Linked DNA regions of Tamandua tetradactyla. The protein of the gene in region 2 interacts with the protein of the main gene of each other region in a biochemical or structural test. Links are inferred from orthologs where the notes say so. Each region holds a gene or a part of one and is shown on either strand. Other genes may lie near its edges.

Region 1 (11,835 bases), on a different chromosome or scaffold from region 2:
ACTCCACCCATTCCAGGTGGATCCTGATAAGTTTACTGGAATCCTTTAAAAGAGAAAGCATTCTGGAGAAGGAGACACAGTCACCAGAGCCAGGAGAACCACTGGTGCCTTAGAGTGCACGTTTCTATAGCCTTGCCTTAATTTTGACATTTTCACACCCTCAGAACCATAAACTGGCAACTTAGTAAATCCCCCTTTTTAAAAGCCATTCCCTTTCTTGTATATCACATTCCGGCAGCTAGCAAACCAGAAAACAAATGAAAACATAAACACTTTACTTTTGTCCAGAGATGGACTCTCAATCTAGTACCTACCGCGCTGTCTTTCATAACCAGCCGTTTATGAGATGTCAGCAGCTTTTCCAAAGGGTAAATAACTCGCCGCAGGTAGCTCTCATCCTTGTGATTATCATATAGCCATTGAGCATCAAGCACATCATGCATAGTCACCATGTGGTCCTGAAAAGCAGCCATATATATGAAAATAATTTAATGTCATCTTATCTCATAGCCAACTGAACCCAAAACTTCAAAAACAGAATAAATATAACTTGTCTTGTCCAAGCTCATTAGTCTTCAGTAGTTACTTAAGAAAATCATCTCTCTTTTGGAGATCTTTACTCGTGGATATATTAAATCTAAGCACGCAGTTTGTAGGCCAGGATATAAATGAATAGAACAGTACTTTTCTATCCAACCACTTACCCTAGCCCATTTCAATCTCCCAAAGTTTAATTAACAGAACAGGGAAAGTGCCCTGAACTGAACTCAACACTTTGGAAATTGCCCTGTTCAGAATGTTAAGCAAGTAAAGTTTACTGAAGGGCTGAAAGATAGATTACAATCAGCTCTAAAACTTGTAGCAGCATAAAAGCATACCTTTTCACTCATAACTCCAGAACGAACCCTCCGAAGTTCCTGCATCTGACCTCCAACTCCCAATAACAAACCAAGGTGCACACACAGCGTCCGAATATAGGTGCCAGCCTCACAACTTACCCAAAAGATTCCTAAAACACACACACACAAAAGAAAGTACATATTATTTCATTAAATCACTAGTTGAGAAACCCAAAGTTATTCGCCATCTGAGCCATCGAGTTCAGAGACAACAGACACAGGATACAACTACACAATAAGCTAATAACATCTACTTTTAAAAACAGAATATAATTCTCAAGAATGCATTCCTACTCACTTGTGGTCTATGTTGATTTGGTTCATCACAAACCTAATGACCTACCTAATCTTCTTTCAGGATCGTACTCTATCATTTTGCTCTCATAGATGGTCCGGACTCGGAGCTGCCTCTTTACTGCGGCAATAAGTGGGGGTCGCTGGAAGAGGGCACCTGTCAGAGTTTCTAGGGCCTGAAAATGAACACAAAACTAAATAAAGATTCTCATCACACAAACTTTCAATTAAGACCAAAGAGGGTATTTTCAGAGTTTGAGGACACAATTAAAACACAAAAGGTTTCTTTCAATCATTTAGGATCTAAAATGCCTTTTCCATTTCTGCTTCCTTATTTCTAATATACAGGGATAATTCAGTGCTGATCGAAAACCCCCTCCTCAGAAAGGACATAGCCAGAAAATTCCTCTGCCACCTGCAGCCACCCACACAGGCTGGTTAGGGCAGCTCATTGAAAAAGGTGTAAGAAACCTATGTGAAAAAGAGGCCAAATGTTCATGGGCTTGAAAGACCCAAATGGCCAAAGGGTGCCCTCCCTAGCAATGCACTTACCCTAGAAAGTTGGGTCCCCCCTTCAATAGCATTGTGCAGCCGGACAATTCCAACATACTCTTTGCCTGAAAAATGACAGAAGAGTAGTCAGGTGTGGCCACTAAGTTTTCTGTATTTATATATTCTCAAGCCATTTCCATTTTGTGCTGCTAGAAAAGCAGGCAATTTGACCTCATGTTCCTATTTTTTAACTAAAAAATGATTAAATAAAGGCACTTTAGACAGAAGCAGCAGCATGGAGAAAGAGGCTAGAATAAGGCAAAAGGTACTCTCAGAAAGACCTTCTAGAGTTCTGACTTAATGCCAGGAATGTATCTCCCCAGCTTGATGTACATGTGTAGTACCTGGAACTCCAAGAAAGGGCAGACCCATGCAGATCTGGCAAAGAACAGAATGTACACAGAAACCAATAGAACATTTTGCTTTAGGAATATTTTTTCTTAATGAAGAAATAATTCCCAAGAGCCAAAATGAAGCCAGAAAGGGAAACGTAGTAAAGTACTCACCACCTCCCTCCCTCTTGCACATACCTGCACTCTGTTGTGATTTTACCAAGCGAGTGGCTCGTTCTATGCACACAATTAGACAGCCAGTCACCTTGGGATCCAAAGTACCACTGTGTCCTGTCTTCTCAACCCGAAGTATTCGTCGGATCCAGGCTACCACCTCATGGGAAGAGGGGTTGGAGGGTTTGTCGAGGTTAATGAAACCTGTCCTAGAATGGGGAATTAAAAATATATATATATATATCTTATAACAAAACAAAACTTTTTTTTATTAATTAAAAAAAGAAATAACAAAACAATTAGAAATCATTCCATTCTACATGTACAATCAGTAATTCTTAATATCATCACATAGTTGCATATTCATCATTTCTTAGTACATTTGCATCGATTTAGAAAAAGAAATAAAAAGACAACAGAATAAGAATTAAAATGATAATAGAAAGAAAAAGAAAAAAAAAAACCTATACCTCACATGCAGCTTCATTCAGTACAAAACAAAACTTTTGAAGGATAAAATAGAAATCATCACAGGTACACTATATATTAAGGGGAATGCCATTCAAAGGTACAACTACCTACTTAAAGAACTGATATAAAAATAACATTTCTAAAGGAACAAGAGTTCGAACAGTGCTTGCCCCAGATACAGATACCTGATATAGTCCGCAATCTCCCTCTTCAGAGGATTTGAACCAGAAGGAAGAGGTGTATAGTGTGTTGTCCTTACATTCAGCTTATCAAAATTCTAGAAAGCAACAATACAACACAAAATAAACTTCATGGTTCTATAGTTCTTGTTTTGGAACCATTAACACGTATAAAACGGAAAGTCAGCACCAGCAAGCAACCACGATATAACCCTCAAAGTTCATAACTTGAATTTTTGTTCTTTGTTTTTCATCATCTGCCATGGCAGACTGTTAAGCCTTCTTAAATACAGGAAAAATGACCCACGTTAGTAAGAACAAGGTAGAGCTGATAACTCAAAATTTAATATATTGCTCTAGAAAGTGGTCAGTACTCCGTGGGTACAGAACATAGACTGGGCAAACTTATGGATAAAATACAGAGGAACTTTGACCTTCTTGGGAGGTGGGTAGGAATAACCAAATTTAGGATTATTGGCAATAATGTTTCCAGTAATAACCATCCTGTCCCTGCTTCAGATGCTCTTACCTCTGCTCTTCACAGATCACCCTAGCTGAACTACCTGACTCCAATCCAAGCCCATCTTTCACATTATCCAATTTGGTTTCATCATGGTACTTATCACAAATAGAATTATTTCTTGTGTAACTCCCACACCCTCAATTTTAAGTTCCCCAATAGAGGACTGTGCCTATCACCTTCACCAACATATTCTCAGGGGGCCTACAAAAGAGAAGCAGATGTTGTCTAAATAGCAGAAACATCTAGCCAAGCAGAAATTGACTGAACTACCCTATTTAAAACTAATTAATAGACAATACTTTCTACAGGACACACTAGTTGCCAGGCACTGGAGATAAACATATTTCATGCATTACCTCCTGTAATCCTCAGCAAATCTTCCTAAAATAATTATTGTGAGCAGAAGAGATTAAATGACTAGTCCAAGGTCACACAGCCTGACTGACTCATTGCTCTTGTGCTCTTAAATACAAGAGTAATGTTATTCAAAGTGTGGTCCACAAAGTGTTGTAGGTCCTTAAGATGGATTAAGTAGAGAAAGTTACAGGTAAGTATTTAGAAACTGTGATAGGAGTTTAACATTGCTGTGATATTTTAATTATATTCTAGAAGAGTACTCAGTATACTGGAAATTCAAAAAAAAAATCTGGTCCATTATCTTAGATACCTGGAGGAGCACTGCCTTAAACTAAATCGTTTTGCATTCCCTAGAAGTCAAAGAGTAAGCATTTTTGCTTTCAAGAAATGAAACGCAGTGGAGAAGACTGATGGTACAGAAAGTGGTACAGACAGGGGCTCAAGGACACGCAATGGCCACATGGAGAAGATAAAAGTATGTATGAGATCACGGGAAGTAGCCAAGTGTTGGTTTCGTAACATACTTATACCTTTATTTTGCTGTGTAACAAAGCCCATATGCCTGATCTTGACCACGTACCTTCAACAGCAGGGGCCACTGAGATGTGTCCAACTGAGCCACTTTGGATTCAGGTTTGATAAGAAATTCTTCTACGTGTTGAATTTCCTTTGACAGAACAGAAACACACACTGTTACATCTCTCACCTGATCTTTAGAAATTCCATTACTAGTACAGAAGTATACGCCTTTTAAATAGAAAGCAAGGCATTCTATACTTCTTCACTGGGGCCTCCAAGGGAGAAAGAAAGAGAAGAAGCAGAAACTCCGAAAAAGAAATGAAGTATCACTAAGATAGGTCCAAATGTTTAAAGAAAACAGGAGATGAAGGGTGTGTGGGTGGAGTTGGGAAGAAAGAGTGATAGGGAGATAATCTGGTATAGCCAACTGCAGTTAGTAAACCAGCATGAAACTTAGGGTGGCTAAGGGGGGGGGGGGCATTCTCATTTTCAGTCCCTTGGGATTTCTATGCAAAGAGCATCCAATTCTGGCCCATCTCTTAGATATTTGAAAAACAGTTCTTGAGTTTGTTAGTTAAGTAAAATTTTAGTTTAACCAAAATAACACATATTCCTACTCACAGCTACATCTTCTGGTGCTGACTTTCGGTCCTTCTTCTTCTTATGCTTCTTTGGCAAAATAACTACTAAAAAAGATACACGAGATTTGGAAGTTTCCCCCGAAAATAAAGACATCCAAGTTTAAAACGAAAAAGTGGAAATCGGGGCAGGCGAATACAGATTTTCCATCTAAGAGTAGTGCTGAGGACAAAAGCTATACCATGGTACTCCGCATGGGTTGGTAACTAGCTGGCGGCTGTCGCACGTGTTGGGGCCCCTTCCGGGTCACCACGTGGCCATGGCGGGGCTTAAAAATCGCAGAGGAGCGCTCGCTGTCCCGAAACTTCCAAAGCGTCCATTGGGCTAGCCCTGCCAGCTTGTAGTCTCGGGGACTTTCTTGCACCTGGGAGCTGGCCTCGCGCCCAAAGCCCTCCGGCCCCTTTCTTCCCCACCCGTCCACCCCCCTCCAGCCCGCATCCCGCGGCGCCCGAACCTGGGTGCGGCCAGCACATCTTCTGTTTGCAACCAAGTGCCCTAAGGAGGTCTTCCCGTTAGCGGGGGGCCCGGGCCCCGCAGGGTCACGTCACCGAAAGGGCCTCTAGGTCCTGCGCTCTCCCCGCAGGTGAAGCAACGTGCGGAGCGGGAGGCGAGGCCCGCAAGAGGCCCGGGAGTGGGTCCCCGGCAGTGAGTCACCGACGCCGCTCCCCCGGCTCTCCGAGTCCGCAGAGTTCCCTCTGACCCCGGAGACCCCGGCCCGGCCGTCCGCAGCCCTTACCTTCGGCGTCCGCCATGTTTCCCCGCACAACGTGCGCGCCGCCCGGGCTATCGCGGAGGTAACGACCGCCGAGTCCCGCCGACCGGGTCTCGTCAGTCCGCGCCGACAGGGCCCACCCACCCGCGCGCCGTCCCTTACGTGCAGCGCCGAGGGGCGGGGCGGGGCCCTGGACGCGTGCAGACCGCCTGAGCGGTCCCATTGGCCAATTCGGCCCCTGCGGGCGGCGCGTGCGCGCGGGCGCCTCGGGCCTCGCCCCTCCTTCCACGGCCCGGGCCGGGGGGCGCTTAGGGAGGCGCGCCCGGGGCGGCCCGGAGCCTGTGGGCTCGACCTCTGCGCCCCCCTCGCTCGGTCCAGCCCGCGCGGCCGCCCCTGGGCTGTGTGCGAGACGCTCTGTCAATATTACCTCACCGCTTCCTCGGGCCCACAGCCCCCGTTACAAAATAAGGAAATAAGCAGAGAGGCGGTGAGGCCCCCGCGCCTCACTTGACCGTCGGCCCCGAGCGGCGCTGAAGAGAATGCGAGCCGCGTGGGGGCCCGGGAACAGAAACAAGTGACAGTCATTTTAATAATGCGTCGCACTTAACCCAGTGTATCCGGAATATTACCACTTCAGCGTGTAGTCGGTGCGAAACATTAGAATAAGGTATTTTACATCCTTTATTTTCTTCCCCCGTATCAAGTCTTCGAATCCCTTACGGCACCCCCTTAATTCGGACCAGGCCCGTAGCGGGTGGTCTCGGTGTACTGCGAGGGGTGCTGTGTCAAAGCCACAAGCTGCTAAACTCAGCTGTCCACCTATCCTGCCCGCACCCTAGCACCCTGCTGCGGAAGCTACAAGTCCCGTCGCGCAGACAGTCTCAGGCGGCAGCCCAGCCCTCAGCGCTACCTGGCGCTCCTGCTGACGCCGCACTCTCCCATGAGGCGCTCCTCACCTGTTCCTCCAACCGCCAACACACCTGGCACTCAACTGATGATGACCTGGCTCTATTAAGAACGAAAGCAATCACAAGAGGATCTCCACGCAGGCTTTTCTACCATATCTATCTAACAACCCACCCACCAGTTACCAAAGATATTTTGCCTTTCCTCCCTTATCCCTGAATGAATGAAACACCCATGCCCTTAACTCAGGCCAGCCCCTCCATTTCACCCAGATCCCAAGCCCTTTTGCTTACTCAGTACATTGCTCCAGCAATTCCCCTTTCTGTTTCCCGTATCATCAACTTCTGCCTCTCTACCAAAGTGGGGTTACATTACCTGGGGAGGTGACCTCGCTCCCCCCACCCCACCCCCAGCCAAGCTGTCGAAAGTTTACAGTATTAGGAGGAGTCTGTGGAGGGGATGTAGTTTGGAGTTGCTGGAGAGTCTAGCGATTAGGATGAAAAGGTGAGAGGTTATGCTGTAAGAACACAATCCTAGAGAATGATCTCTTAGTTAGAGCCTGTTCAAAAATGTACCTCCACCCTCCCGCCCTGCGGGCATGAGTTAAAGATTGCTGCCATCACAGGGGCCTGTGGTTCAGAGATCGCAAGTTCAAGATAATATTGCATTCCACCAAGTGGAGAGCAGGTGAACTGCCAGAGGCACTAAGTCCTCAGCAGGGAACTTATAGGGGTTAAGGCAGGGCCCACATGGACCCGGCCAGAAATGCAATGGAGCTCTTGTCCTTGTCCTTGTCCGGATGGTTATCTGCCTGCTAGAGGGGTTGATCTTATCCAATAATCAACATTTCCATTCTCACTCAGCAGCTTCAGAGCTGCCTCTTCTGTGACTTACACACTCTGGAGCTGCAGGAAGGGGGTTTCCCAACTCATGGGCCCCTGGACTAAGGGTGTAATCTACCCATGCAGGTGGGTAGTTAGTGGTGGTGAAGCCCTTCCATCTCTGGTTCACCTGGCTTCATTTTAGGAGCTTGGGGGACAAGTTACAAGCAGGGACACCTACAGGTCCTTTTTTTCCCTCAGTTCTTCACAGCCTTCACTTCCACTGCTGTCGCTAGGGAGCACCTTGCCTCAACTGCTTGTCATGGGAACACAGGTTCAGGGCCTAAGAGAAACTTTCAGCAAATGATCCCTTTATTACTTGCACAGAATAAAGAGTCCAGAAAGGGTGAATAGTCTCCTTGTTTTCACAGCACAAAGAGTCTATGAGCAGGGGAAGAAGTCCCCTCACAGCCAGTCCCCTCTGGGTGGCCAAAAGCTGTTCCAGGTAGGTGTTGACAGATGGCTGTCCCACATGCCCCACTTCATGCCAGAGAAGAGAGACCCACTTGTACTGTTTGAATGTGGGTTTTATTCACCTCAGGAGGAGGGGGCTTGCCACTGAGAATTCCTATTCTGACGGGCATCTGGAGCTGCTGGTTCCCAGTTTCTGGGTGTTAAGTCTGACTAGGTTCTAGAATGTCACACAGTGAAAAAGGAAGTGGAGGGAGCAGAAGCCCATAGGTACAATGGCTACTTAAAGTGTGTTCCTGACTTTCCCAGAGAGGGAGGTGAGGATAGGTGAGGCTGGGGCTGAGGTCACTTAACAGGTATCAGTGACTTCCCTAACAACCCCCTGCAGATGGAGATGGCTGCTTCCAGCAACATTTTACATGTCCATTGGTCCCTTTGGACACTTGCTTCCCTTGGCTTCCAGGACATCCTACTCTCTTGGTTCCCCTTTGACCTCACTGGCCACTCCATCTCAAGCACCTTCCCTGACTCCTCCTTGTCACCCCAAGCGTTTAATGTCAGAGTGCACCAAGGCTTATTCCTTGGCCCTTTCCTTTAGCTGTACCTTGCTGTGTTGGTGATCTCATCGAGGCCCATGTCTTTAAATGGCAATGACTCACCAAATCAGATCCCCAGCCCAGACCTCTTCCCTAATCTCCAAACGTGTCTATTTGGCCTCTTGTTCAATATCTTCATCTGGATATCTAAAAGGCACCTCAAACATGAAGTGTCCGTAACTGGGCTCCTGATACTCTACCCAAACCTAGTTCTCCTCTGGGTTTCTTCATCTCAGTAAGTAGTAGCTCCATTCTTGCAGTTGCACAGACAAAATAGTGTCAGAGTCATCCTCCATTCCTCTCTTTGTTGCACACTCCTCATTCAGTCTGTTAGCAAGCCCAGAATCAGACCGCTTTTCACCACCCTCGCTGCTGTCACTAAGGCCCCTGCTGACATTGTGGCTCTCTGAGATTTTTCCAGTGGCCTCCTGACAGGTCCCCCCATTTCTGCCTTTCCAACCTACTGTGTCTTCTCAATGCAGCAGCCCAAAAGAGTCAATAAACTTAAGTCATATTCTTCCTCTGCTCAAAGCTCCACATTTCACCAAGAGTAAAAGTCAAAGTCCCAATAATAGCTGACAGAATGTGCCCCCAGTTCTCTTTCTGAATTCAGGTCTGGCTACTCGTACCCCCACGTTGGTCTTTTGGCTGTTCATGTCTATTCCAGGCACACTCCCCACTTTCTGGGCTTTTGTACCTGCTCTTCTTTCTGCCTTGCATGCCCTGCCACCAGATATTCACATTCCTCTAACCCCCACCCCACCCCAATATCTAAAGACCTATGACTACAATTCATCTCTACATTCACTAAGGGAACAATTACAAAGACAAATGTAGTAGGAGTAAGCCTGCATATCAAAAGAGTAGTAGAATACTAATATGTAACAGGAAATATCTAGACAATATTAATGCAATTGTAATTTGAAAGTGTTTGACCCACCAGGAAAAAATGGAATTTTATAGGAGGGTCAGGATCTACAGTGGAGGTTTATGTAGAGGTGATGCCTAGACCAAGAAGCCTGCAAGGGAATTATCCCAGACATTTCACAGCGATGGATAGGTTTAAGTGATGACAAACAATTAGTACCTGATTTGTTAGTAACATGCTGTAGGCTAGTAGATTCCCAGTCCAGATTATTAATAGGATTCTGATTGTCTTTTCACCACATCTGGCCAGACAACCAAAACAAAAGTCCTACACTTCTCTGAGAATTATCACATGGGAGGCTTTACTTACAGTACTAAGTCCAGAGTCAGTTAGAAATGTTTCATTTGCAAGTGAAAGAAACTGACTCTTGCTGTCTTAACGGTATATGTATATATGCGGGGGAGGGTTGGAGAGAATGAGAATGAGCATGTGAATGGATGAGTGAACATTGAAGGTTAGCCTCAAAATTGCTTATGGCTCATCACTTACTCCTTTCTTCCACACCACTGTTTTAGTTTGCTAGGCTACTCAAAGCAGATGCCATGAGATGGATTGATTTAATTAACAGGAATTTATTAGCTCACAGCTTGAGATGAAGAAAATGTACAAATCAAGGCATGATCAAAGCAATGCTTTCTTCCCAAACACTGGCTGCCAGCAATCCTTGGCTCCTCTGCCACATGACAAGGGACAGGGCGGCATCTGCTGGTCTCTCCCTTCTCTTCAGGGTTTCATTACTTTCAGCTTCCTGTTTCTATATCATTCCATTTATAAAGGACTCCAATAAGAGGATTAAGATCCATCCTGAATGAGGTGGGTCACACCTAACTAAAGTAGCCTGATCAAAGGATCCTACGTACAATGGGTTCAACCAGAGAAATAGATTAGATTTAAGAACATCTCTTTCTGGGGTACATACAGCTTCAAAGCACATAACCACCAAACAAAGATATATCATTATATGAGACTTTAGTGAAGGACTGGGGCGATAAAAACAGAAAATTACTTTTTTTTTGTTTTTTTGCATGGGCAGGCACCAGGAATCGAACCCGGGTCTCCAGCGTGGCAGGCAAGAATTCTTTCACTGAGCCACCATCACACCGCCCAGAAAATTACATTTTTTTAAAGAAGTAAATTTAAAACAATACCTTCAAATATGCTTTCCCTGTAAAATCGTCATATAGTGTCCCTTAATAGATGCCTTTTAGTTCCTCACCTGCTCTTCTGCCCTCAGGTTCTATAGGGCTATGACTGTTCTTTACAATGTTTCACTGGTCACACATGGTAAGCTCTGTTAGTTGGTGACCCAACAGCCATTTCTTTCCCTTTCTCCCTTTCTAGCAGTTACCCATTTTGTGCAGGTTGGCACTAAACCCAGAATCAGGGATGAATCCTAAATGGTTTAGCCCAGTCATGGTAAACCCTTCCTTTTGTCAGATCCTTGCAGTCACAGTGACCGTGTGACATAGTTGTGGCTAAAGGGTCATAACTGGAAGTCTGCTGGAGGGGGCAGGGTTGGGTAATGGCATAAGGAGCCTGAAATGGCCAAATGGCACTCAGAATTCTGCTGGTACTAGAATCAGCAGGGCCCAGTGTCTTAGGTATAAGAAACTATTCTGAAAAGCAGGTCTTAGTTTACAAGTTGCCAGAATGCAATATACCAGAACTGGAATGGCTTTTAAAACGGAATTTAGTAAGTTACAGGTTTACAGTTCTAAGCCTATGAAAGTGTCCAAAGAAAGGCATCCAGGGAAAGATACCTTAATTCAAGAAAGGCCAATGCATTTGGAACAGCTCTAGCAGCTGGGAAGTCACGTGGCTGGCATTTGCCGATCCCTTGCTCCTGGGTCGGTTGCTTTCAGCCTCTGTTCCTGTGGGGGTTCGTAACTTTGCTTCTCTGGGGCTGGCTTTCATCCTTTGGTTTCCCTTGGCTCTCTCCAGGTTCTGGCTTGCTTAACATCTCATGGTAATGTCTTCTGGGCTCCAAGCATCTCCAAACACCATGTCTCTGTTCTCTAAAGCAACTGTTCTTCAAGTATCTACATCTGCTCTCTCTGTTCGCTCTCCTCTGTTAGCTCAGCTCTGAAGCTTCTGTCAGCTCTGTTGTCTCTGGCTGCATGGATTCTCCTCATGGCTCTCGTCATTCTCTGCTCTCTCAGAATCTCCAGCTCTCTCCCAAATGTTTCCTCTTTTAAAAGATCTAGTAAACTAATCAAGACCCACCTGGAATAGGTGGAGTCACATCTCTATCTAATCAAAAGGTCACACCCACAATTGGGCACATCACATCTCCGTGGATATAATCTAATCAAAAGATTCCAACCTACAGTGTTGAATCAGGATTAAAAGAAACAACTGCTCCAACAAGATTGGATCAGGATTAAAACATGGCTTTTCTGGGATACATAATACCTTCAAACTGGTGTAGCAGGCCATTCAGTTATACCTCTGAGATATGCCAT
Region 2 (11,183 bases):
GGAGAAACTAGAAGGAAAACCTGAAGGCAAACACCATTGGATTTTCAAGTCTGAAAGTCATTTATCCTTCGGCTGTAGAAAGTGGCAGTCCCACCCCTTCCAAGGGCCTATGCAGTGGCCGGCCTCTTTCCAAATCAACCTCGGGGAACATCGAGGAGACCACCTCTGGGCTCCACTCTCTCCAGGCATCAGGGCCACCCCTGGGCTCTCTGCCATTTCTGGGGCACACGCTCAACCCCTCCACATGGTGGCAACCAGGCTCTCCCAGTCCTCCAAGGAGCGTGCTATGCCTTTTCCAAGACCCGAGGCTGAACAACTAGTCCACTGCAATGAGAGGGGAGACTCATTCTCGCCCTTCAGGGTAAACTCACCCTCTCCCTGTATATGGGTGGGTCCACTCTCCTGGCCAAGGTTTCTTGGCTTCAGACCCGAGCTTCCATGGTTCTCACTCTGCAAACTCCAATTTTTTCCCTTTTGTGTCCTCCTTTGTCAAGATTAGTAGTAGTTCCATTTACACCAACAGTGTCTTCAAACACTCCAGGACTTCTCCATCAATCTCTTCACAGTTCCTCCAAAGTCTTCCCCTTAGCCATCCAAAACATCGTTCCAACAGGTCTGGTATTTGCAAACCGCAGCAGCACCCCACTCTCCGGTACCAACTCTGTTCTAGTTTGCTAGCTGACGAATGCAATACACCAGAGATCGATTGGCTTTTAATAAAAGGGGATTTATTTTGTTGGTTCTTCAGAGGAAAGGCAGCTAACTTTCCACTGAGGTTCTTTCTTACGTGGAAGGCACAAGATGGTCTCTGCTGGTCTTCTCTCCAGGCCCCTGGGTTCCAACAACTTTCCCCGGGGTGACTTCTTTTTGCATCTCCAAAGGCCTGGGCTGAGCTGCTAGTGCTGAGGTGAGGAATGATGAGCTGCTAGGCTGTGCTACGTTGCGTTCTCTCATTTAAGCACCAGCCAATTCAGTCAAACCAGTCACTCATTGCAGCAGACATGCCTCCTAGCCAACTGCAGATATAATTAGCAACAGATGAGGTTCACTTACCATTGGCTTATGTCCTCAGCAACAAGACTAGGTATGCTCACCTGGCCAAATTGACAACTGAATCTAACTAATACACTGGAGAATCACAATCAAGCTTGTTAGATCAGAGAGAGACTAATTTGATATAATCAAAGATGATAGGTTATATTCTTGTCCTCAATAACTTGACCATGGAAGAAAATATTTTTAAATTGGTGAAAAGCCATCCAGAAGTAAGCTTGAAGGAAATGGAAAAACAAAAAAAGGACACTGCAGCATCGAAGAAGGAGATGGAGAAGAAAAATTTAATTCCTGCTTGTTTTCCCCCTATTGCAGAGCTAACATGGAATGTTGACATAGTGCCTTTATTCACAAGCGATGTCTATATCTAGAAACATGAAATCAGTTGACTCTATGAATCAACATAGACATATCTCAAAAATGAACTAAAGTTTCAAAAAATGGCATGTTGCAGGATTACATTTATAGCATGATAATGCAACCATGTACACATACACACAAAGTAACAGTATGTAGAAATATATGTCGACTTATGAAAAGAGGTTACCTTTGGGGAAGTATATAGGAGGACAAACTTGGGATGGCTGTCAAAGGGAATTTTACCTGTAATATTCTATTTTTTAAAAAAAAAGAATGAGTTTTTTTAATTTTACAAAAAAATCCTCAAGATATATAGCAAGGATCATTTTTTACACAACTAGGCCCTGTCGTTTCATTTGTCGACTTTACTTTAAAGAATTATGAGATTGTTAGTAAGAAATAATGAGAAAGATCAGCACGAAGTGAACAAGGTGTTCTAGTTTGCTAGCTGCTGGAATGCAACACACCAGAGATGGACTGGCTTTCAATAAAAGGGGATTTGTTTAGTTAACCTATAGTTCTTCAGAGGAAAGGCAGCTAACTTTCAACTGAGGTTCTTACGTGGGAAGGCACAAGGTGATCTCTGCTGGCCTTCTGTCCAGGCCTCTGGGTTCCAATATCTTTCCCCGGCGTGATTCCTTTCTGCATCTCCAGAGGCCTGGGCTGAGCTTCGAGTACCAAGATGAAGCATGCTGAACTGCTTGGGTTGTGCTATGTTGAGTCTCTCATTTAAGCACCAGCCAATTAAACATCATTATTGCAGCAGGCACGCCTCCTAGCCAGCTGCAGATGTAATGAGCAACAGATGAGGTTCACATGCCATTGGCTCATGTCCAAAGCAACAGAACTAGGTGCCTTCACCTGCCCAAATTGACAACTGAATCTAACTACCACACAAGGTAACGAGCACAATGTCTCCATTTTATAACTTTTATGAGGTTTTCTCAAATAAGACTATTTGTTGTGCTGTGCTTCTGCTTCTGTTGAAATGATATAACATTTTTGCTAGATACATCTTATGGAGAAGACCATTTATGCTAGCTATACCTTATAGAGAAGACCATTTATACTGAGTATTGTTTCAGAAGGGTTAAAATGAAATTTTTTATTAATATGGGTGTATTTCATTACCCTCCTTAAAACGACTAAAAAGAAATGAATTTTTAATGTGTAATTAGTCACTAATTAAAAATACAAAAATAAAGTGAACTGTTGTTTGCAGAAAGAAGACAGAAAGAAAGCTATTATATGCTTGCAACTATCAATATTTTGTGATGCGGCAGATATATATTTTTATAAAACAGCAGCACTGAACCATATATAGCCTGTTTTCCTGTATTGAAATACTCTTTCATATGTGTGTGTATGTGGGCAAACACATAATAAAATATCCAGGATTCACACAACTCTAATTTGTGAAGGGCTTTCAATTTCTTGTTGATAGCAGAGCTTCAGTATAAGTTCATTCTCAATTTGTTAATGCTTGTGACCTACAGGAATGAACTCCCACAGCAGATATAAAGATTCCTTCTTGGTAGATGTAAAGATTTCTTCTAAAGAAGCTAATTTGGAATGATTTAGCCAAAAGCCTATCTCAAGAGACCTTTTGGGGGCCTAATTCCAAATGTACATCGATTCATTGTCAATATTAACTGCCTATCATTTTTAAGGCTCAGGACAGTCTAAATATAGACTGGGAAAAGTCAGAACGTGATACAAAGCATGTTTTGGTTTGCTATAGTTGCTGGAAAGCAATATACCAGAAATGGGTTGGCTTTTACGAGGATATATTAATTTATAATTTATAGTTCTTAGGCCATGAAATGTTCCAATTAGGGCATCAAAGGATGAATACCATCTCTGAGAACAGGCTTATGGCATCTGGACTCCTGTCACATGGGAAGGCACGTAGCCAGCATCTGCTGGTCCTTTGCACCTGGGCTCCAGTGGCTTCCTCTCTCAGCTTCTGTGGGTCCTCTCCTAGCTTCTCCAGGGCTTTTTTCTGTGCACTTCTCTATTTTTTTAAAAACAGTTTTATTCACACACCATACAATGCATCCTAAGTGTACAATCAATGGCTTAGTATAATCACAGTTATGCATTCACCACTAGTCAATATGAGAACATTCTAATTTCTTCCAAAGAAAAAAAATCCCATACCCCTTATATCTCCCTATTATTTAGCTTTGGTATAGTGCCTTTGCTACAATAAATGGAGCAATATTACAATGCTACTGTTAACTATAGAACTTAGCCTATGTTAATTATATATTTTTTCCCATATAACACCCTATTATTGACATCTTGTAATAGGGATACACGTTTGCACTAGTGATGTAAGGACTCTTATGTTTACACAATTAACCACCACCATTGTCCACTCTGGGTTTTGCTAAGTTATACAGTCCCAGTTTTTATCTTGTAGCTTTCCTTCTGGTGGCATACATGACACTAGCCTTCCTCTTTCAGCTATATCCACACTCCACTTTGTTAATTATATTTACAGTATTGTACTACTGTCACACAGAATTGTGTTTTCCATTTTTGAACCTTTACAATGAACATTATTGAACATTCTGTACTCCTTAATCATCAATTACCCAATTTTTGCACACTTTCTATCTCCTGGTAACATATGCTCTCAAATTTCTCAAAATTTGCTCATTATAGTTAGTTCTTATTAATGAGTCCATACACTATTTCTCCTTTTGTTTCTGGCATATTTCTCTCAACATACTTTCCTTAAGATTCATTCACCTCATTGCATGCCTTATGACTTCATTCCTTTCTGAAGCCACACAATATTCCATCATTTCTATACACCAGTTTTCCCTTCCACTCATTAATAAATGGAACCTTGGGTTGCCTCCATCCATTGGCCATTGTGGATGGAGGCCACCATAAACATCAGTGTACAAATGTCTGTTCTCCATCCCTGCTTTCAGTTCTTCTGAGTATATACCTACTAATGGGATTGCAGAATCATATGGCACCCCTATATTTAGCTTCCTGTGGAAACCATGTAGGCTTCTTCTAATTTCATCTCTTTTAGAGGACTCCAATAAGGGGATTAAGACCCACCCTGAATGAGACAAGCCACATTTCAATAGAAATAACCTAATCGAAAGGGCCCACTTACAATAGGTCTGCACCAACAGTAACAGATTAAAAGAACATAACCTTTTCTTGGGGTACATAACAGCTTCAAACTACTACAAAGAGGACGATGATAATGTTATAAGGAATCAATTCTTTGGTGGTTTAGAACCTGGACTCAGAAATCAGTCTCAACTGGGTTTTAATTCCCATTACACCACTTTCTAGCTGTGTTATCCTGTGCAAGCCATGGGCAGATGTGATAATGCCAACTTTATAGAGCTGTCTCGGGTGGGGTGGGGTGGGAAATGAGACCATTAAAAAGGACTTGGTGTAATGCTGGTACATAACAAGCATTCAATTAATGTTAGTTCCTGTTAATTTATTTTCTATTTTTGAGGCCTAATTAAGTTTCACGAGCGCTTCCATAGAGTCATAAAAAATTAGAGATTGAAAAGGCTTTTGAGCTTAATATCTGGTCCTGTTCTAGGAGATGACTTCCACCCCTTTTCCACTGATAGGAAATAAATACCACAATTAACTATTGTAGTTACTGGTGAAATAACAGGAAATTTTTTAAATTAGAGGGAAGGAAGGTCAAGGGAAAGGGAATATAAAGGGGAAGAGGAATGTTAAACAGATTTGTGGGAGATGTGTTGGGAGGATATAAGTGATACAGTGTAAAGGAAGAATATACAGACAAGAAGAATAAGGAAACAGAGAAAGAAAAGAGGCTTCAGACAAGTGTAAGGATAAAAGTGAGAAAGGAAGGGGGAGGGAAGTACAGAGGGACTACATACCGTCGAGGCAGGCACTGACATCGTTTAAGAGTCAAAAGCCCTGGATTCTGATTATTGTAAAATACATGATATGAATAAGTGGCTTAACTTCTCTGGGTTCAGTTTTCCTCCGAGTTTGTACTATAGATTAAATGAGATTAATAGGAGGGACACTTTAAAAAGAGAAAACCCTATTCAAATAAAAGATTAAGAAGGGGAGAGAAAGCGGTAGAAAAGACCAAGAAATAGTTGAAATAAAATAAAGGAGGCAGGGTTGGAGGGGAGGGGTTGGAGAGCGGAGGGGGGAATTGTTGACAAGTCAGGTGAGAACTACGGAAAACCACAGTAACGGCGCTGCCGCTGCTGCTGGGACCTCTCCAACGTTGACAGTTTGCCAGTATTATTTCATGTTAACCTCACAATATCTCTATGGGGATAAGTTTTAGTATTATTCTCGTGTTAAAAAAGAGATATCTGAAGCATAAAGAAGTTAAGAAACTTCCCCAAGAAGGGAAGTGGCTGAGAAGTGATTCAAACGCAGATGTATCTATCTGCAAAGCCAGTGCCATTAACAATTTCCAAGAACCTCGAAAGAGGCTTCGCGCGTCTAAGGCAGACTCTTGTCCTGTTTCTTCCACAAGTTTTCCCCTAGGTTCTGCTCCTGCGCCCAATCACCACTTGCTATGACCCCTTTTCTTTCCAGTTGTTCTGAAAACACCTCTCCCAAAATAGCGTCCCGTCTCTATGGAGATCTGCGTTGGGCGGGACTTCCTGCTTCACGTGAGAGCACTTCCGCCTGGAGGCGGAAGCACCGCGATTGAGAGGACGCACCCCGGCACATGGAAAAATCACGGAGAGTTTGAGGCGCGGCGTGAGAGTGCCCTACACGGGCACCTGCGAGTGGCGTGGCGATGATAACACCCGCTTTCGACCTCAGCCAGGATTCTGACTTCCTGATCGTCGCCATCCGCGTGCCCTATGCTCGCGTCTCCGAGTTCGATGTCTACTTCGAAGGGGCCGATTTTAAGTTCTACGCCAAGCCGTACTATCTCAGGCGAGTTTCGGGTGCCTCCCCTTAGGAATAGTGTATGTGGGGGATTAATTCATTCACCCATTCGAAAATAGCTTATTGAGGGAGGATGGAAGAGCGAGCGAGCTGCAGGACGCGGTTCTGTTTTCAACCAATGCCTTATCCCGGAATTTCCGCAGTTTCTTTCTGTGCTGAGGAGGTGATCTCTTTTAAGGCTTTCATACTCGGTGCTGCAGAAGGTCATTCACTTCTTAAATTCCTACACTGAAGAGACTTAGGAGCCACCTTAAAACCTGGCATTTGGGACTTAGGCCTTTAAAACCTGGCGTTTGGGACTTCTGCCTTTCCATCTTTTGTCCTGTCGCCCTAGTTTTCGTTCCTTTCTGGCTTGTTCTATTACCTTTCGTTTAAGTTACTAATCTATCTAGACAGCCTGTGCTGAGATCCTGGATCATCTCCCGACTCATTGATACGTTTGGCTGCTCAGACCACTTTCTGTTTACCGACTGAAGCGCCCTCCTTCCTGAAATTCCCTCCTTCCTTGGTCCCTGTGACACCCTGTTAGCTTGGTTCACCTGCCTTCTTGCTGTCTGCTACTTCTTTTTTTGGTTTGCCTCTTGTCATGGTTAGGGACACGTGTCAACTTGGCCAAGTTGTGGTACCTGTTTATCTGATTGGGCAAGCGCTGGCCTCTCTGTTGCAATGAGGACATTTCATAGGATTAGGTCATGATCACATCGGCTGCATCCACAGCTGATTCCATTTGTAATCAGCCAAAGGAGAGTGTCTTCTGCAATTAGTGATGCTAAATCTAATCATGGGAAGCCTTTTAAGGAGGACTCAGAGGAGACAGGTCCCATTCCTGCTTTGGCTGGTGAGCCTCTCCTGCAGAGTTCATCCAGGCCATCCATCGGAATCGTCGGCTTGGCAGCCTCCCCTGTGGATTTTGGACTCTGCATTCCTGCGGTCACGTGAAACACTTTTATAAATTTTGTATTTGCAAGTATTCCCTGTTGATTCTGTTTCTCTAGAGAACCCTAACTAATACACCTCTTAAATGTGGTTGTTGTCCCCTAAGACTCAGTAAGGGACTTTCAGCACTTCTGTTTTTCTGCTTGCACAACCATAACAATAACAGCAATAATAGCTAACACTTACTGATCACCTTTAGTGCGGTGGGCAAACTATGAGTTAAGTGCTGTATGCATATTATCTCATTTATCCTTGATGGTGATCCTTGGATATAGGTACTGCTATTACCTCCATTTTACAGAGGACACTGTCAGATTAGTCTTTCTAAAACAATGCCAATCCTTTGTCTTCCCTTTTCCTACTAGGTGAAATCCATTCTCTTAATCTTTCTCATTCAAGTGTAACTCCAGCCTACCTTCCGATCCAAGTACTGTTGTAATACAAACTTTCCGTCCATTCAAGCTGCTTCCTTTACTGTGCCTGAATCGGTTTTGCTCAGATTTCCATTAGACCCTCGCTTACTCTGCCTACTTGAATATACTGTACTTTTCCTATTTTGTTTTTCATCTTTTCCTTCAATTTATTTGTTGAACTCAGAGTATATGGCAGCCCTGTTTTTGGTACTGGGAATATAGTGGCGAACAAGACAGAGTCCTGCCTTCATGTAGTTTACATTCTAGTGGGGAGAAAAAAACAATAAACAAGAAAACATAACTACAAATTGTGGTAAGTGCTATGAATGGAAAGAAGAATATGTACTGATAGAGAATAAAAGAAGCCCATTATTTATATAAAGTGATCAGGGAAACCCTTGCTGAACAGGAGATATTTAAGCCAAGAGATGAATGGGAAGAGGATGGTCGTAGAAAAACATTTATTGAATATTTACTCCAGGCTAGTGCTTTTTGTGAATTATCTCATTTGATTTTGGGACAGTCCTACAAAGTAGGTTCTGTTGTTTACCCATGTTACAGATGTGAAATCAGAGGCTCGGAGAGAAGTTCTTAAGCATAGTCTTTGGTATGATGCAGACTGATTTCCTTTTTCCTGTAAAATAGAGTGGTTAAATGAGATAGGACTGAAAAACAAAACACAAAACCAATAAAATAAAGAATTTAAAATAAAAACCATTTTATAACAGTTTTGTTGGAGACAAAGCAAGAGGATACAAGCGAAGCAGTTTGAAAGAGGACTCTTCACACGTGAGGATTCATTTGTTCCTCAGGTAGCAGAGGCATAGGCATTGGGTACATCTGTGTCTCAGCACACTTACAGTTCTGTTAACTTTGAACAAATTATTCAGCCTCAGTCTCTTAATCTGTAAAATAGGGTTAATATTAAAGATCTTAAGAAATTGATGTGAGAATTGAAATGTGCATATAAAGTGCTTATTACCATGTCTGATAATTGGAACAACAGGCCTTCAATAAAGATTAATACCTCCCATTTGTTGGACAGTTAGTTAATGATCTGTTGCAGCATAACCAGTCACACTTAATGGAATAAAACAACAACAATAATTTTACTCTCAGTCCTGCTGTCGTTGGGTCAGGTTGGGCTGTTCTGGCTTGAGGCCTTCAATGCAGTTATTGTCAGGTCGTTATTCAACCTGGAATAGCAGGAGCAGAAGCTGCTGGTGGCTGATGGGTCTCAGGGCCTCCCTATGTGGTCTCTGCATGTTTGAGTTTGTGCTTCTGCAGGAGAGTTGCAGCACTAACACAGTGGCTAAAGGCTTCGAGGGTGAGTCCTCCAGCGAGCAAGGCAGAACCTACTTAAGTAACCTTTTATGATCTAACCTCAGAAATCATTTTGTGTCACTTCTGATGTGCTATATTGGTCAAAACAGTCCCAGAAACCCACACGGTTACGGAGAGGGTACACAGACCCCACCGTTGGGAAGAACCAAAGTCGTGTTATTGAAGAGAATGTAAGATAGGCCATTTTAAAAAGTACTGTTTGCTACTGTATACAAAAGATAAGTAGAACTTGGTCTCTCTTCTTGAGGAATTGCAAGCCTAGCAAGAGAGACAGATCTGTAAACATTTTTTTCACTTTTATGCAGTAGGTGTTTAAGTCTGTGCATAAAACTTGGGAGAAAGGGATTAAAAATAATAGCTCACATTTTCTGAATCCTCACTTGGTTGTGCCAGCCACTAAGCTCGATCCTTTATCATTTCATTCTCACAGATAGGTACTGTTATTCCTATCTCTTTACTAGTGTTCTAGTTTGCTAGCTTCCAGAATGCAATATACCAGAAACAGAATGGCTTTTAAAAAGGGGAATTTAATAAGTTGCTAGTTTACATACAGTTCTAAGGCCGAGAAAATGTTTCAATTAAATCAAGTCTATAGAAATGTCCAATCTAAGGCATCCAGGGAAAGATACCTTGGTTCAGGAAGGCCAGTGAAGTTCAGGGTTTCTCACTCAAGTGAGAAGGCACATGGCAAACACAGTCAGGGCTTCTCTCTCAGCTGGAAGGGCACATGGCAAACACGGCGCCATCTGCTAGCTTTCTCTCCTGGCTTCTTGTTTCATGAAGCTCCCCGGGAGGCGTTTTCCTTCTTCATCTCCAAAGGTCACTGGCTGGTGGACTCTCTGCTTCGTGGTGCTGCAGCATTCTCTGCTCTCTCCGAATCTCTCATTCTCCAAAATGTTTCCTCTTATAGGACTTCAGAAACTAATCAAGACCCACCCAAATGGGTGGAGACACATCCCCCCCAATCCATTTTAACAACTGCTCTTGATTGGAATACATCTCCAGGAGATTATCTAATTACAGATTCAAACATACGGTATTGAATAGGGATTATTCTGCCATTACAAAATGGGATTTTGAATAAAACATGGCTTTTCTAAGGGACACACATCCTTTCAAACCAGCACAACTAGTAAGGAATATGAATCTTGAAGCAGTTAATTAACTTGTCCAGAGAAAGTTATACTGCTGGTCAATGATAAGGCTGGGACTCAATCCAGATTTCTTGACACTAAAGTTAGTGCTTGGAACCATCATAAACTAATTTAATTCATAAAATGATTCTTTGTGCTGTCTTAGAAGTGGGTCTTGGTTTAGAAAATGCACTGTAGCTTGAGGAAACATTGGTGTCAAAAGCAGCTAAGGTGGGAAGCCGTGGACCTTTTAGGGTCTACCAAGATTTTTATATTGTTGAGGTAGGAAGCAAGGAGGAGGAGTTTGGGAGGTGGAGAGGCTAAAAATTTAAGTTTAGAATGGAATAGAGTGGAGCTGATATACCATCTGATGAGTTTGAGTTACCAGGTCAACATCAAGCAGCGATAGAAGCTTTTCCAGATAGAAAAGTGCCAATAAGATTTGTGTTTTAAAAAAATTCGTTTGGGGCCTCAGTAGAAGACTGATTGAACCAAAGTAAAACTGGAAGCAGGGAAATCACTTCATTTCCTGTGATATGAAAGAGGGGGAAATCCCCGTATGTCATAATGATAACTGGGAGAAACACCTTTGCTTTCTGCCTTTTTTTTTTTTTAAGTAATAATTTGCCTGATATAAGTAATTGGTTTTGTTACTTCGTTATTGTTTCCCTTTTTGGGGCTCTTTAAAAAAAATATTTTACACATTAGTAAATTTGTATTGAGCACCTATTATGTCAGGCACCAGGTATATAAATAACTCATTTGTAAGGAAAGGGAATGTACTGAAACAATAGTGAGAACTAATATTTATTGTGTTTTTTCTTTTTAAGCATCTGTTTTATTGGTGACTAGAGGGTATTCGCATACAAAGATGAATCATCTCTGGTTTCTATTTTCCCAGATGGGGAAAGAATCTCAGTTACTGAAGTTTGTAAAGTGTGAAAGGAAGCTTAGGAACCTCCTTTTTAAAATGGTTGATAGAATTTGATGTGTAACAGTGTAC

The links.
Region 1: the proteins of SHQ1 (region 2) and DKC1 are reported together in a solved structure, tested with the Homo sapiens proteins (2 studies listed by BioGRID, with this or other methods). The link is inferred for Tamandua tetradactyla from reciprocal best matches to the Homo sapiens genes SHQ1 and DKC1.

The regions. Positions count from the first base shown.
Region 1 is NC_135353.1:1,658,400-1,670,234, forward strand, and holds the start of DKC1 (H/ACA ribonucleoprotein complex subunit DKC1), read right to left. Parts: upstream 5,797-11,835; 5' UTR 5,692-5,796; coding exon 5,676-5,691; intron 4,987-5,675; coding exon 4,922-4,986; intron 4,449-4,921; coding exon 4,362-4,448; intron 3,000-4,361; coding exon 2,908-2,999; intron 2,461-2,907; coding exon 2,276-2,460; intron 1,811-2,275; coding exon 1,746-1,810; intron 1,370-1,745; coding exon 1,243-1,369; intron 1,010-1,242; coding exon 879-1,009; intron 782-878; exon of another isoform or gene 649-781; intron 459-648; coding exon 315-458; intron 1-314.
Region 2 is NC_135341.1:10,923,134-10,934,316, forward strand, and holds the start of SHQ1 (protein SHQ1 homolog), read left to right. Parts: upstream 1-5,805; 5' UTR 5,806-6,199; coding exon 6,200-6,342; intron 6,343-11,183. UniProt on the Homo sapiens protein: Required for the quantitative accumulation of H/ACA ribonucleoproteins (RNPs), including telomerase, probably through the stabilization of DKC1, from the time of its synthesis until its association with NOP10, NHP2, and NAF1 at the nascent H/ACA RNA.